Lytechinus pictus: one gene and its partner. The protein of the gene in region 2 binds, or shares a complex with, the protein of the main gene of each other region. Links are inferred from orthologs where the notes say so. Each region holds a gene or a part of one and is shown on either strand. Other genes may lie near its edges.

The links.
Region 1: vacuolar protein sorting-associated protein 51 homolog (region 2) and vacuolar protein sorting-associated protein 54-like share a complex: the UniProt entries of both Homo sapiens proteins name them as parts of the golgi-associated retrograde protein (GARP) complex. The link is inferred for Lytechinus pictus from reciprocal best matches to the Homo sapiens genes VPS51 and VPS54.

Annotation. Positions count from the first base shown.
Region 1 is NC_087251.1:34,989,578-34,997,179, forward strand, and holds the start of vacuolar protein sorting-associated protein 54-like, read right to left. Parts: upstream 3,027-7,602; 5' UTR 2,841-3,026; coding exon 2,210-2,840; intron 1,285-2,209; coding exon 1,007-1,284; intron 271-1,006; coding exon 180-270; intron 1-179. Other genes in the region: cytochrome P450 3A24-like, read left to right, coding at 5,773-5,846, 6,576-6,669, 6,938-6,990. UniProt on the Homo sapiens protein: Acts as a component of the GARP complex that is involved in retrograde transport from early and late endosomes to the trans-Golgi network (TGN).
Region 2 is NC_087256.1:24,417,672-24,424,891, reverse strand, and holds the start of vacuolar protein sorting-associated protein 51 homolog, read right to left. Parts: upstream 3,052-7,220; 5' UTR 3,011-3,051; coding exon 2,921-3,010; intron 1,177-2,920; coding exon 1,088-1,176; intron 341-1,087; coding exon 184-340; intron 1-183. UniProt on the Homo sapiens protein: Acts as a component of the GARP complex that is involved in retrograde transport from early and late endosomes to the trans-Golgi network (TGN).

The DNA.
Region 1 (7,602 bases), on a different chromosome or scaffold from region 2:
TCTTAATATGTGGAGCATATTGTAAACAAAAAACAGAGTTGAGAACTTTGTTCGAAATAATTAGAAATATATTATTGTTTCTGAATGTTATAACAAAAATGTTTTTCAGATACTCAAATATACAGAGATATGCAATGATAAAGGAACAAAAATTCGAGGAAATGTTTTTTTTTTCTAACCTCGATTTCCACTGGCAAGACTTGAGCTCTGATCATCATCGCTTTGTGATGATGTACTGACTGCGGATGGTCTTCTATGTTGCTGTAGTTTCTACAAGAGACAGAGAGAGCAATACAAAGAGATCAAAGCATATCAGTTCCATAATTAAAAAAAAAGTAGAGTTAACATCTAGACAAGAACAGATATTCCAACTATCATATTATTGGTGGCAGATCCCCACTTTGAGTTAACACATGTACTTCACAAAGTCTCCCCACCTCACTTGAGTTTGAATATATTGTAGTTGGCCCTAGATGTGCCTGTAAATCTCAACTTTTTCTCCCACCCAATATCAAAGAATCTGCATCATTGTATCATTGCCTAATTCAATGAGAGAGCTCTTAAAATATCAAAAGTGACCTCTATCCTCAAGACATTGTGCTTTGTGCTACACGGTCTCAAGTTTGTTGTATTACGGTGTTTCTCAGCGGAAGAATCTCTGTGACATGAAGAGATGCTTTGGGTAGGGCACTTTGCACAAAGATAATTTTCTTTACATCAAACCCTGTTAAAATACAATAAAAGATTTGAGCAGGCTTGTACACACAGATCTATACGAATGGTGTATCAAAAATTATATTCATATCGAGTAATTTCAAACAATACTATAAAATGCAAGGAATTTGATGCATATTTCTTTTAATTTTTTTTTTCAAAACTGTTTAGACGACCTCCATCATTTTTAAGCTTGAAGAACCCAACAGCTTTCTTGCAGATATACATCATTCTTACTCTTATACTTATTTTTGTATATTTTGGTAAGAAATATAAATAAGTGCATACTTACATATGCCACCTGCCTGAGATATTTCTCAAAGTGGATTCTTGAAATGCGAGGGACATACGGAGAGGAGGGAATTTCACTCTGATCCACGAAGCCTTCACCCCACGTCTTCGTGAAGAAATCTGTTTCCCTTTTGACCTTTCTAGGGTCATTTAAGACAGCAGGTAAGTTGACCACAGATGACAGGGGTGTCCATTTTTGCTGAACACTGACCACTGAGGGAGCTACTGTCATAGAAGGGGCGTCGCTATGAGCTGCAGATTTTAACCTGTTTGCTAAAGCTGGAAGGTGTTATTAAAAATACAATGAGAAAAGTTATTGATTGTTAGTGTAAATTTGTAAATAACATACATGTACAATGATATATTTTAGCAATGGCGGTAAATAGTAAAAATAAATAATGTAGAAATTAATGCTTTCATCTTTTACAAGATTTGTAAAAGTTCTATCAAGCAAAATCAATTAATAGTAATATAATCTTAATGTGAAATAATACATAAATGTTATTGTATTTATATTGTTAAAAATAAGGCTAGACAAGGTGTGGGCAGACCAGTGGTACTGCTCACCCTATGATGTATAAACCATACTAATGTCGAGGATGGTGTAGATTTCCAAGCAAGACTGCTATGAAGATACCTAACTAACGAGAAGGATGAAGGACTTGAACTGGAAGCACGACTGCTGGGATCATCAGCATTCTTCCAGAATCTCAAGTAAAGGTAAATAATGTTTCAAATAATTCAATTGATGAAAATCCCAATTTCCCAACCACATGCATCCCTGCTAATTTTTTTTACAGGTTGAAATAAGTATTCCTCACTTTTCTTACACAAGGATTTGATCTTTGAAAACCACTCATGACTGACTCAATGAATAATAGTCTGCTGGCATGAATCGCTAGTGGCTTTATAAATAAGGCAAATGCATGTACACAATATGCAGTACATAGTTTAAAAGGGTAAAGCCACATTGCAGAATACTCTACTACACTCTAAATCAGTAGTAAGAACAAGGAATAATTTTCCTGGTTTTGCATCACCATTTGCTCCTCTCTTTTTAAAGACTGCTACACAAAAAATGCCTGGTCAGATTTGTAGTAAAAAAGGACTTCAGATCATAGAGGTAGCTGAGAGAGTTTTATGACTTAATTTTGCAAAAATTGTTGTTTTGCAAAATTATTCCCTACAAAGTGATGTGATTTACCTTCATCCATCATATGGTCCCTTGCAACATGATATTCATAGTCTACATCACTCACTCCATCCACAGGCAATGTTGGGCAAACACCATGAAGTCCATAACGGCAAACAAATGAACCACCCTCCTTGGTACAATGTTTATCCCGTAAATGTTTGAGAAAATCTGTTTGAGTTCTAAATGCAATACTGCATAATGCACATTTCCGCCAAGGTATAATCTTTGGATTTTTACTTGTTCTTGCCATCATTGTAGTTCTTTCATTTCCTTGCCTTAAACGTTCATGCGTCTGCTGCTGCTGTGCAGAATATGACGCTTTGATTTCATGAAGATTTGATATGGAATGGTCGCTAGATGATCTACTCATTACATCATTAACTGATAATTTGTCATTGATTCTTTCACACACTTGCTCAATTTCACTATTTGAAGTATTTCTCACGCTTGACCGTAAATTCTGCTCTGTTGTTGACAGGCCCGCTTGTCGTCTGTTTCTCGCGCCGGTAGCCTCCTTTCGCCTCCCCGGTGCCTCCCCATCGCTGCTGGACGAGTGAGACCCCAGGCCCAGCGAGTAGCCAGTGGAAGTGAATGACGGATGTGATCTGGACGAAGGAATTGAGCGACGTCCGGAGCTCATTTTCGTGTAGAATACTCCAGATACTATATGAAAAAATGATGGCTAACTATTCTGATCCATGAAACAAGGTGGAATATTGTTTCCTGCAAACTAAAATCATTTTTCACAGGCGTATCTCTGGCATAGAAAACGTCGTACCTGTCCACGTAACAGCTGTCTATGACAATTTATACACAAATAGATCGTAACGATATATCAAATTGGCAAAACATGTTTGATGTGAGTTATACTATTTCATGTATTTATTTTTTATTAATTATAAATTTTAGAATTAAATGTTATGTAAATAAATATATATAATAAAATACTATAAATTGATTAAACAAAAATTGTATACGCTTTATTTTGTTTGAAATTGTCGATTTTATTGCCAATCAGTAAAATGTGAATTATCAATTTGATTGTACTCTACCTTCAAAGCAAAAATCATATATCACACCATAGAGATATATACTAATAACGTATACATCTCACACATAATGATCTTTAAGGTACGATCTTTAAGCCTATGCTAGTGCCTCATTGACGGACAGTCTTAATTTTAGTATTTTGTTTTTTCATGGCAAACTGTTCCCATGCAGTCAACCACTTTTTTAAGTTTCTATTGACAGCCGATCTGGGGTTTCAGATAAAAATTTGAGCATTCTTCATCCATATATGATGCAATTTTTTTTCCACAAAAACCTGGCATTTGTATTTAATAATAATAGTTTGGTCTGTTAAAAAATCTGTACCATTCATATCTTATATAAAAATTGCCCCCAAAATAGAAAAATAAATGTTCTTTGTGATCTATTTATCTACTAATGTATTTAATTATTCATTATCTAGAATTTCAGTCATTTATTCATCTATTGATTATTTAATTAATTACTCAAAAACTCAAATACACACACACATTTAATTAATTAAGCAATATCATCAATCTATTTATTTATCATTTAAGCTTCATTCAACTAGTTTCGTTTCCGATTTACAGATTATGAAGAGACAACATAATAAAATAAATTGAATAAGGAAAGAACAAAGGACGTTGTTGTTTGTTTGTTGTTGTTTTAGTTGAATGTGAGTGCGCTCCTCAACCTGTAGTAGGTTCTACAGGTTTCTTAGAATTAATTGATGTCTTCGTCAAATAGCACATTCCATATTGACAGAGTAAATAACCCGCGTGATAAATTGTTCGTGGAAGAGGCAAGCTAACCAAAACGGTTAGTTGCATATACATAAAACACAATAATTCACGTATATAATCTGGGTTAATTTAATTGCTTAATGTACATGTTATTCAATTTCATTTTTTTTTCAACAGAGTGCGTCTCTTTTTTAAAAAATATTTTGAACAAATAAATATAATGTTTGATAGTTTCGAAAACTTGATATACCTCACAGAAGCCTGACAAATACTGTTTGTTTTGAAATATAATAGTTTAATCGAATAAACGGGGGGGGGGGGGTAACACTGAATAACGTATTCTTAGGCCTATATCTGTCTGAGAATTTTAGAAAGATATATATAAAAAAAATTACAGATATATATTAAAAAAACAAAACATGGATGGATACATACTCAATGTTCTTTGACGTGCACAAGTGTGAAACTCTATTCAGAGGAAAATTGGATGGAGGAAAAAAAACCTCTACATCAAATTGCTCTTATGACTTAACTTTTATTGAATGGTTACACCGTTAGAGAAAATAAACGCAGATAAAAAAAATGTTTATCTCGAAATTAAAAAAAAAATGTCATAAGGAATATCAAACTTATATTGATATAGAGATATAGTTCTCTATCATATTATGCTAGAATGATTATGAAACACGGTCATAACAGCCGGGCATAAGAGGAGTAATGCATAAATTTCCATCCATGTAGGCCTATTAAAATTTCGGAGGTGTGATTATACGGAAAACATCTTAAGAAATAATCGCAAAATCGAAATATTCTTTTCACTCATTTTCATTCAAGTAGAAATTTATTCTCTTCCATTTTCATGAAATATATATTTTTTTCAATATAAGTTATACAAAATAATTTGTCATAGAATAAAAATACATAAGAGATTTTTTAATAACAGAAGATGTCGTAATTCCCTAATAGCAAAAACTGTAACACGCCTCTAACAAAAGTACAATACAAATATGCAAGAAGGGCCAGGAAAGGGCTGAGAGAAGAAATACAAGTTAAGTGAATTGCCTGTTACAGCAAACGAAATGCCTGTGAAGGACGGCGGAAGAATTCGCAATGCAAATTTAAACTGCTAGAACTAGAAACACAAGCCACAATCTAAATTCATAACTGTCATATACTCATTAATTTTAAACCACTCATTTTTTTGTTCGGCTCAACTACCTTTCGATGTTCAAAGTCCATTTTACCAAATATGAAATTGTTCATACTCATTCACGCTTGTTGAACTTTCATACTCCATAATCTGATTAAAGCAAGTTTTCGCACAGCCACGCCGAACGAATTCGAGAACATAGTAAGCGGTAAGTGTACTGAAAATGCCGGTCAAATGACAATTAACAGCTGGGAGGTATTTGTCGAAAATTAGTGAAGCGGAACAGCAGATTCGTCCTAAGTTCCGGAGCTGACGAATATTGCACTATATATGTCGTTTGTCCAGAGTCCAGAACAAAACTGCTGTTTTGATTCTCCAGCATCTTTAGACAGTTGCTAAGTACCCGGAGGGCATTTGACAATATAGGCCCATATTATTTTCTATTTTCTTGAAAGCGTTGTGCGTAGCGGTGAGATTGAGAGGCTAGAGACACGCATATAGTCAGACCTATCATGCATCTAAACTCAACACTGTGCTCTAGTTCAGGTTGAATTTTGATTTGGATGCCCAATATCTCAAGTCGGTGAAGCTACCTGAATTGCATTCTGATTTCTCTCTCTCTCTCTTAATTCAGTATCACGTATGTGACGATGACCCTTTTCTCTGTTAGGGGATACACGGTTTCGTGGCCCTTAGTTGGTAGCCTGATCGCTATCCTTATTGGGTAAGTATGAGTTTGTAATATTATTGGTAGAATCATGTATGGACCAGTAGGCTTACGTATAGAAGGTTATTAACCAGATAAATTCATTATTTTCTTCTTTGTGAATACCATGCTGTACCTAGAAACGAATGATCCAGCAGGATGCATGCAGCAGTAATGTATGTAGGGTGGGGGGGGGGGCACTTGTCAATTGTACCACTTTAGGGTGCTAAAAATGAGTAGGGAGCTAGGGTGGGGGTATAGTAGGAGATACTTCAACCGGAGAAGACGCAAGGGTAAAATTGAAAGAGGGCAATTTCACTACTTGCATGCCCACTGCGAGATCTGTTGGACTGAAAGGCAGCACTGTAGCTTGTCCTTGGAACATAATTTTCAACTTGCAATGTTGTCAATAGGTCTGTTCTTCTATGATATTAACAAGTAAATTTTAAAGTTATAATCATCGTTGTTGCCTCATAGACATAACGATTACGACCACAATAACATTTATTGAAATCATATAATTAGGGTAGCTAGCCTATATATCAAAATGATCATTAAAATGATAATGTGTCAAAGACTGCGTTGTTGCGTCAGTTAATCAATTGAATCAACTCACTCAGACATAATACAGTATATCTACGATTTCTTTCGTATGAAAAGTCATTTAGGGCTTACATATTCTGTCTCCTCTTGCTAGGATATGATTCTTCATCATCTAATTCAATGTGTACATTTGTTTTCCTTCAGACGTGAGATATGGAGACTGACCTACTTCAAACGACGTGGGATCAAAAGTCCTTCTGCAAATCCTTTGTTCGGCAACGCTCTTCAAATCATGCAGGTATATAGACATATTTAGAAAAAAATATATAGCACACACGTCATTATGCACATTGTAAAAAAATGATTACTATATATTTGGGATTTTGTGGTTGTTCATATAACAGACACCAATGACAGATGTTTTTTTACATTCTCTTTTATTTATTTTTTGACATTTTTAACCTTTCACCTCATTTATGTGACAAATAGTTATTTTTATAAATAATGAACATAATGCGCCAGAAATGATATTTATCTCGTTGTTTTTTTCTTTCGATTTTGTTTAGAGTGTTCCTGGATTCTTTTTGAAATGTCAAGAGAAATTCGGCACAGTATTTGGGTGTGTATATCAGTCTATAGATGTTGAGTGTATGCACACACTATAGGTCATAGTTCAAGATGAAAAAAGTATGTAGTCAAAATGCAAATTGAAAAAAAGTAAAGATGTCTTACTGTTTTTTTTTGTCTGTTTCTTTATGTGTTTGTATTTCGCTCCTTTTAGCAGTATTTCAGTCTGAACTTAACTCTTCACATGCTGAATTGATTTTGGGGGTTAATAATGACAACTGTTTCAATGCTATTTTATTTGAATGAAGACTTCTGCATTGTATCACTGATACTTATGATTATTATATAGATGTTATCCAAGAACTATTGTAATTTATAAGCTTTTCTAATATGTATGTCAATGAGAAAACTAATTATTACCATTGTTCAATTTATTTGTACGAATGTGCAAAATTGCAACATCAGCGCGCAAAGAGTTAATAATAATGATTATGCAAAATGCAATAAAGTATCCAGGGATTCTAAAAGTGGAAAGGGGAGAAAATTTTTGAAAATCTGAAAAAAGGGTCTTGACTTGCACGGCTGTTTCCACGAAAAAAAACTTTTCAAGGCTTACAAGGGGGGGGGGGGGGCACAGGATAGTTTCCACCCCACCTGGGTCCGG
Region 2 (7,220 bases):
GCATTCTATGTGTATACTATGAGATGTCCCTCTCCTTTAAAGAGAGGCCAATAAACACAGGATATTGAAAAAACACCACAATACACACACAAATATTCTATTTCAACAATACAGAAATGTGCAGAGCGATGAAGATATGGAGGCCCAGAGGGAGAAACATATCAAAACAAAAGTTAGGCTCACCATTGGAAGTGACCTCATGATCTTATCAGAGGGTCTCTCCCCCTCCTGATTGCTAACACCATCCTCATCTTCCTCAGGGCTGGATGCGGTCCGCTGTCTACCAGTCTTCACATGACTTGACATCTCCCTCAGACTCTCATCCAACTTGTGTCGGGCACTGTCAGTGAATTCACAGACACGAAATTTAGTCTAAATACACTCATTACATGAAATTAACAAATTATTTCGTTCCTTCAATAAAGATAAACATAACCCACTCCCCAAAAATCCCCAATATCATCATTTACGGACAATATAACCTCTTGCCAATTTCCTAAAAAAGCTACTATTACAGAAACTTTGGTATCTTTAATGCAACTAGCCAACTACCTTGATAACAATACTTTAATAAATACCTACAAATCAATATCATTTTTCCAGTGAAGTGATGATTTTAATAGTAAAATTTCATACATCGGGCCATTGGGGTCTGTTAATGAAGAGTCACGATAATGGTACCTTTGAGATCCATCTGTAACTTCCTTGGAATCCTAGACTTGAGTGGTTGTTGAGCATTGTTACCATAGAATGGCAAAGTCACAATGATAATGATTGATGATGATGACGATGATAATAATTAATAATAATAATCATTTTGTATACCACAAATTGCCTCTAAGCGGTTAAAAGAAAGGAAATATGAAGTGAAAAAGATGATGACGATGATCCTGACGATGATGATGATGATAATAATAATAATAATCTGCTTTTATATAGCGATTAATACATCGGAACATCTCTAAGCGCTTTACAGATATATTGAAAGTTACAATGACAGTTACTTTGAAGAAACAAGTCTAATAATAAGAAAGTGTCTACATAGTTAAAGCTGTCAATTCATTAAGAAGTCATTACTCATACTTACTGAGAAAGAAACTCATCAAAGAGCTCATCGGGTGGTTCTTTGAGTTGCAGCAACAAATCTACACATTCAGCTAGCTGTTTAGCATCAGACTAGGGAATAATCATTGTATGAAAGATTACACAATATTTGGTTAAAAGCAACAGATCTATACATTGTTTAGCATCAGACTGGAGAATAACTACTACACGTATATGATGACACAATGGTTGGTTAAAAGAAACAGATCTACAAATTCAGCTAGCTGTTTAGCATCAGACTAGGGAATATTCATTGTATGAAAGATCACACAATGGTTGGTTAAAAACATATGTAACATTCTGCTTAGCATCAGACTAGCCATAATAATTACTGTATGAAATTGATTATACAACAGTTGGTTAAAAGCAACAGATCTACACATTGTTTAGCATCAGACTAGGAAATAAATACTACATGTATATGTAAGCGATTACACAATGGTCGGTTAACAGAAACAGATCTACATATTCAGATAGCTGTTCAGCATTAGACTAGGGAATAATCTTCATATGAAAGTGATTACACAACATCGGTTAAAAACAGATTACACATTCAGCTAGCTGTTTAGCATCAGACTAGGGAATAATCATTGTATGAAAGTGATTACACAATGGTTGGTTAAAAGAAACTGATTTACATATTTAGCTAGCTGTTTAGCATCAGACTAGGGAATAATCATTGTTTGTAAGCGATTACACAATGGTTGGTTAAAAGAAACTGATTTACATATTTAGCTAGCTGTTTAGCATCAGACTAGGGAATAATCATTGTTTGTAAGCGATTACACAATGGTTGGTTAAAAGAAACTGATCTACATATTCAGCTAGCGGTTTTATAGCATCAGACTAGGGAATAATCATTGTATGAAACTAGTGATTACACAATATTTGGTTAAACACACGTGTAACATTCTGCCTAGATCAGACTAGCCATAAAAATTACTGTATGAAATTGATTACACAATAGTTGGTTAAAAGTAACAGATCTACACATTAAGCCAGCTGTTTGGCATCAGACTAAGAAATTAATATTGTATGAAAGTGATAACACAATTATTGGTTAAAAGCAACAGATCTACACATCAAGCAAGCTGTTTAGCATCAGACAATGGAATAATAACTATGTAAAAGTAATTACAGAGTAGATAAAATTTAATATATGATCGAGGATTGAATTCAAAGATAATAACACAGAATCTAACAATTTTCAATCAAAATTCCAGGTTGACTTTGCAATCTGAGTAAAGTGTAATGATGTGGTAAATATGGTTACCCGACTCAAAGTGTAAACAGAAGTGCTATTTACAATCAGTTCAAAATGCAGATAACTTTGCTTCTTAATTCCAATCTATTCGGACCACAAATCTGTTTTGTTCAAATGAGAAATGTGCCTTAGAAGAGGTCTATAAAAGATGTGTAGCCTAATCTGGCATGAAAAAATTGGTTTGACCTTGGCGAATATTTGATTCAAGTTTACATGTATTACGGCAAAGTTTTTGCCCAATAATCTAAAGGCCTGGTCCCACTGGCCGAAGGACACAAAAACGTATTCATAACGGATACAGCGGACAAGCAAAATTTTGGGGTGGCTCCATCCGGTTTCATCCACTCCAGACAATGGACAAGATGGGCGAACAATGAAATAACAGTGGATGGATGCTCGATGGATATAGAGCGTATGATACATGTATGCCAAGAGTACACAACGGATACAAAACGTTTTCCAACGGATGGCAAGATTCTTTTCCATTTTACATCATCTCTGCATCCGTAAGTGGAGTGGGACTAAGCCTTTTAAGAATGATAGAACATTTACCTCTTTGTTCCCGAACTGTTCTCTTAACTTGAGCCTTAGTTCATTGACGATTTCATTGCAGTCTCTATGGATACCGTGGAATGAAGGCATGTGCTGGTACTGAAGTAGGACAACACGCGCTTTGGAGTAGTATCTGGGAGAGAAATCAAAGTAGATATACATGTAGACAAAGAATTTGCATCACAAAGTCTACAAGTAGCATATAGATTCAATTCAATTCATTTACATTCTCAAAAAAACACAAACAAACATGAAAAACATACATAAGATATAGAAGTAAAACATTGTTATGACATACAAAAAACATATTTATGAGAATGAGGGGCCAACAAAAAAGAGCAGGTAGCCTTATTGAACGTTGACCCAACATCTATAAAGACAAAAATAATTAATATTCCAAAAACAGATAACATAAATGAAAACAAATATTAACACGTAAATTCAGAATAGCGTAATTATACAGCAAATTAAGAATACAAACTTGAAAGATGTTATTTGTAATAATGTTTGAATGAATTGAAGGTTCGGCATATTTTTAAAGAATATGGTACATTATCCAAAGAATAGGTCCTTCAAAAAATTGAGTTATAAGAAACTGAAGCTCGCATATACATGTATGTAAATAATAAAAACAGGTTACATGGTGGCAAGATTCTTGTGTATGCACTTTTAGAGTAGTATCTGGGATAATTCAAAGTAGATACTGACAAAGCATTGTCATCAGAAATGAATGCAACATATGGGTCATTCTATCTAGAGCCTTGAATTTTGTAGGAATGGGTTCATCAGACCTGAGGTAGTATGACCACATGAATACATATGTGACCTACCACCCCCAAACCACCAATAAGTCGCCAGGTTAGGTTCTCTGTAAATAGCCAAAATAGTAATTTAGTCTCCAAAAAACAAAAATTAGAAAAATGGCTTATCTGAAAGAGCAATTCTTCTTCTTCATACTGTAAAAAAATTGTCGTGAAGTTGTGAAGTTGAATAAAAGAAAAGATACAAGAGTTTCTTGGACACTACTTTTTCGGACTGCTTGTAAGTTTCACTGAGATTACACAGTATGCACATCTTATGCTTGAGTGAACCCAAAACTTCAAACCTTGTTTTCAGCTCTTGCTGAACTTCCTCTGCATTCGATCAAGTACTTGTAATGCTTAGGCGAGGCGTCAAAACCCCAAATGCGTTCCAACGCGTGCATAGCCATTGTTCCATAATGAGAGTGTGCAAAGGAGTTCCAAGAGATTAGTACGAAGTACCGTTATATTCTACATTAAATCTAATTTGCATAATCCGTACACGCTGGGGAACGGGGCAATTATTATCTCGATCGCTATTGGCTAATCCGCCGGAGCGTCGCACGAGAATACACTGAATAGTGCAGGTTCACATACACATACACACACACAGCGCGCCAGCGTACACTTCACATAAAATGAGGTCAGTGTTCGGCGTGCACGTCGGATCAACATTTGCAGCGAAGCTTTGCAGCGAATGCAGCGCGTGAGGTGCGGGCGGATCTACGAGAGGGGGGAATAGGGGTTGCCTGGGGCTAGCTTCCAGTACAAAGTACCAATAAAAAAAAAAAAAATCCGTGTTTACGAGAGTCGCGCAAGCAAAACGGTGGCGGATTAGGACATGCTTTTAAATTGTTTTGAGGGGCGAACGAGTGAAAATATATTTTGTATGCCTTTCGTTATGAACTCCCGTTCTCCATGACGAAATGTAATTGACGAAAGGAAAGTAAAACAAAATAGAGGTAACAAACATCTCAGAATAGTTTGCGATCTATCAGGACATGTTTTAAAATTGATTTTAGGTGTCAACAAGTTAAAATATATTTGATATACCTTTCGTTGTAATCCCTTGTTCTCCGTTAAGAAATATTAAATACGTCTTTTCTCGACGATGTTGGAAACGTAAATAAAACAGAATAGAAGTCACAAACATCTCAGATGGGTGTGCGATCTATCACAACATGTTTTAAAGCTGTTTTTAGGGGTCAACAAGTTAAAATAGATTTGATATACCTTCCGTTATGATCCCCTATTCTCCGTTAAGAAATATTAAAGATGCATTTTCTCGAAAAAGTTGGAAACGTCGATAAAACAAAATAGAAGTTGGTAGCATCTCATATTTATTGGTGATACATATTTTTCGAGGGGTCAACAAGTTAAAATATATTTGATATACCTTTCGTTTTGATCCCTTGTTGTCCGTTAAAAATATTAAATACGTCTTTTCTTGACGATGTTGGAAACGTAAATAAAACAGAATAGAAGTCAAACACATCTCAGATGGGTGTGCGATCTATCAGGACATGTTTTAAAATTGTTTTTAGGTGTCAACAAGTTGAAATAGATTTGATATACCTTTCGTTATGATCCCTTGTTCTCCGTTAAGAAATATTAAATACGTCTTTTCTTGACGATGTTGGAAACGTAAATAAAACAATAGAAGTCACAAACGTCTCAAATGGGTGTGCGATCTATCACAACATGTTTTAAAGCTGTTTTTAGGGGTCAACAAGTTAAAATAGATTTGATATACCTTCCGTTATGATCCCCTGTTCTCCGTAAAGAAATATTAAATAGGTCTTTTCTCGACGATGTTGGAAACGTAAATAAAACAGAATAGAAGTCAAACACATCTCAGATGGGTGTGCGATCTATCAGGACATGTTTTAAAATTGTTTTTAGGTGTCAACAAGTTAAAATAGATTTGATATACCTTTCGTTATGATCCCTTGTTCTCCGTTAAGAAATATTAAATACGTCTTTTCTTGACGATGTTGGAAACGTAAATAAAACAGAATAGAAGTCACAAACATCTCAGATGGGTGTGCGATCTATCAGGACATGTTTTTAAATTGTTTTTAGGTGTCAACAAGTTAAATTATATTTGATATACCTTTCGTTGTGATCCCTTGTTCTCCGTTAAGAAATATTAAATAGGTCTTTCTCGACGATGTTGGAAACGTAGATAAAACAAAATAGAAGTCACAAACATCTCAGATGGGTGTGCGATCTATCAGGACATGTTTTAAAATTGTTTTTAGGTGTCAACAAGTTAAAATAGATTTGATATACCTTTCGTTATGATCCCTTGTTCTCCGTTAAGAAATATTAAATACGTCTTTTCTCGACGATGTTGGAAACGTAAATAAAACATCTCAAATTGGTGTGCGATCTATCAGGACACGTTTTAAAATTGTTTTTAGGTGTCAACAAGTTAAATTATATTTGATATACCTTTCGTTGTGATCCCTTGTTCTCCGTTAAGAGATATTAAATGCGTCTTTTCTCGACGATGTTGGAAACGTAGATAAAACAAAATAGAAGTCACAAACATCTCAGATGGGTGTGCGATCTATCAGGACATGTTTTAAAATTGTTTTTAGGTGTCAACAAGTTAAAATAGATTTGATATACCTTTCGTTATGATCCCTTGTTCTCCGTTAAGAGATATTAAATGCGTCTTTTCTCGACGATGTTGGAAACGTAGATAAAACAAAATAGAAGTCACAAACATCTCAGATGGGTGTGCGATCTATCAGGACATGTTTTAAAATTGTTTTTAGGTGTCAACAAGTTAAAATAGATTTGATATACCTTTCGTTATGATCCCTTGTTCTCCGTTAAGAAATATTAAATACGTCTTTTCTCGACGATGTTGGAAACGTAAATAAAACAAAATAAAAGTCACAAACATCTCAGATGGGTGTGCGATCTATCAGGGCATGATTGAAAAATTTTCCAGGGGTCAACAAGTTAAAATAGATTTGATATACCTTTCGTTATGATCCCTTGTTCTCCGTTAAGAAATATTAAATACGTCTTTTCTTGACGATGTTGGAAACGTAAATAAAACAGAATAGAAGTCAAACACATCTCAGATGGGTGTGCGATCTATATCAGGACATGTTTTAAAATTGTTTTTAGGTGTCAACAAGTTAAAATAGATTTGATATACCTTTCGTTATGATCCCTTGTTCTCCGTTAAGAAATATTAAATACGTCTTTTCTTGACGATGTTGGAAACGTAAATAAAACAATAGAAGTCACAAACGTCTCAAATGGGTGTGTGATCTATCACAACATGTTTTAAAGCTGTTTTTAGGGGTCAACAAGTTAAAATAGATTTGATATACCTTTCGTTATGATCCCTTGTTCTCCGTTAAGAAATATTAAATACGTCTTTTCTTGACGATGTTGGAAACGTAAATAAAACAATAGAAGTCACAAACGTCTCAAATGGGTGTGCGATCTATCACAACATGTTTTAAAGCTGTTTTTAG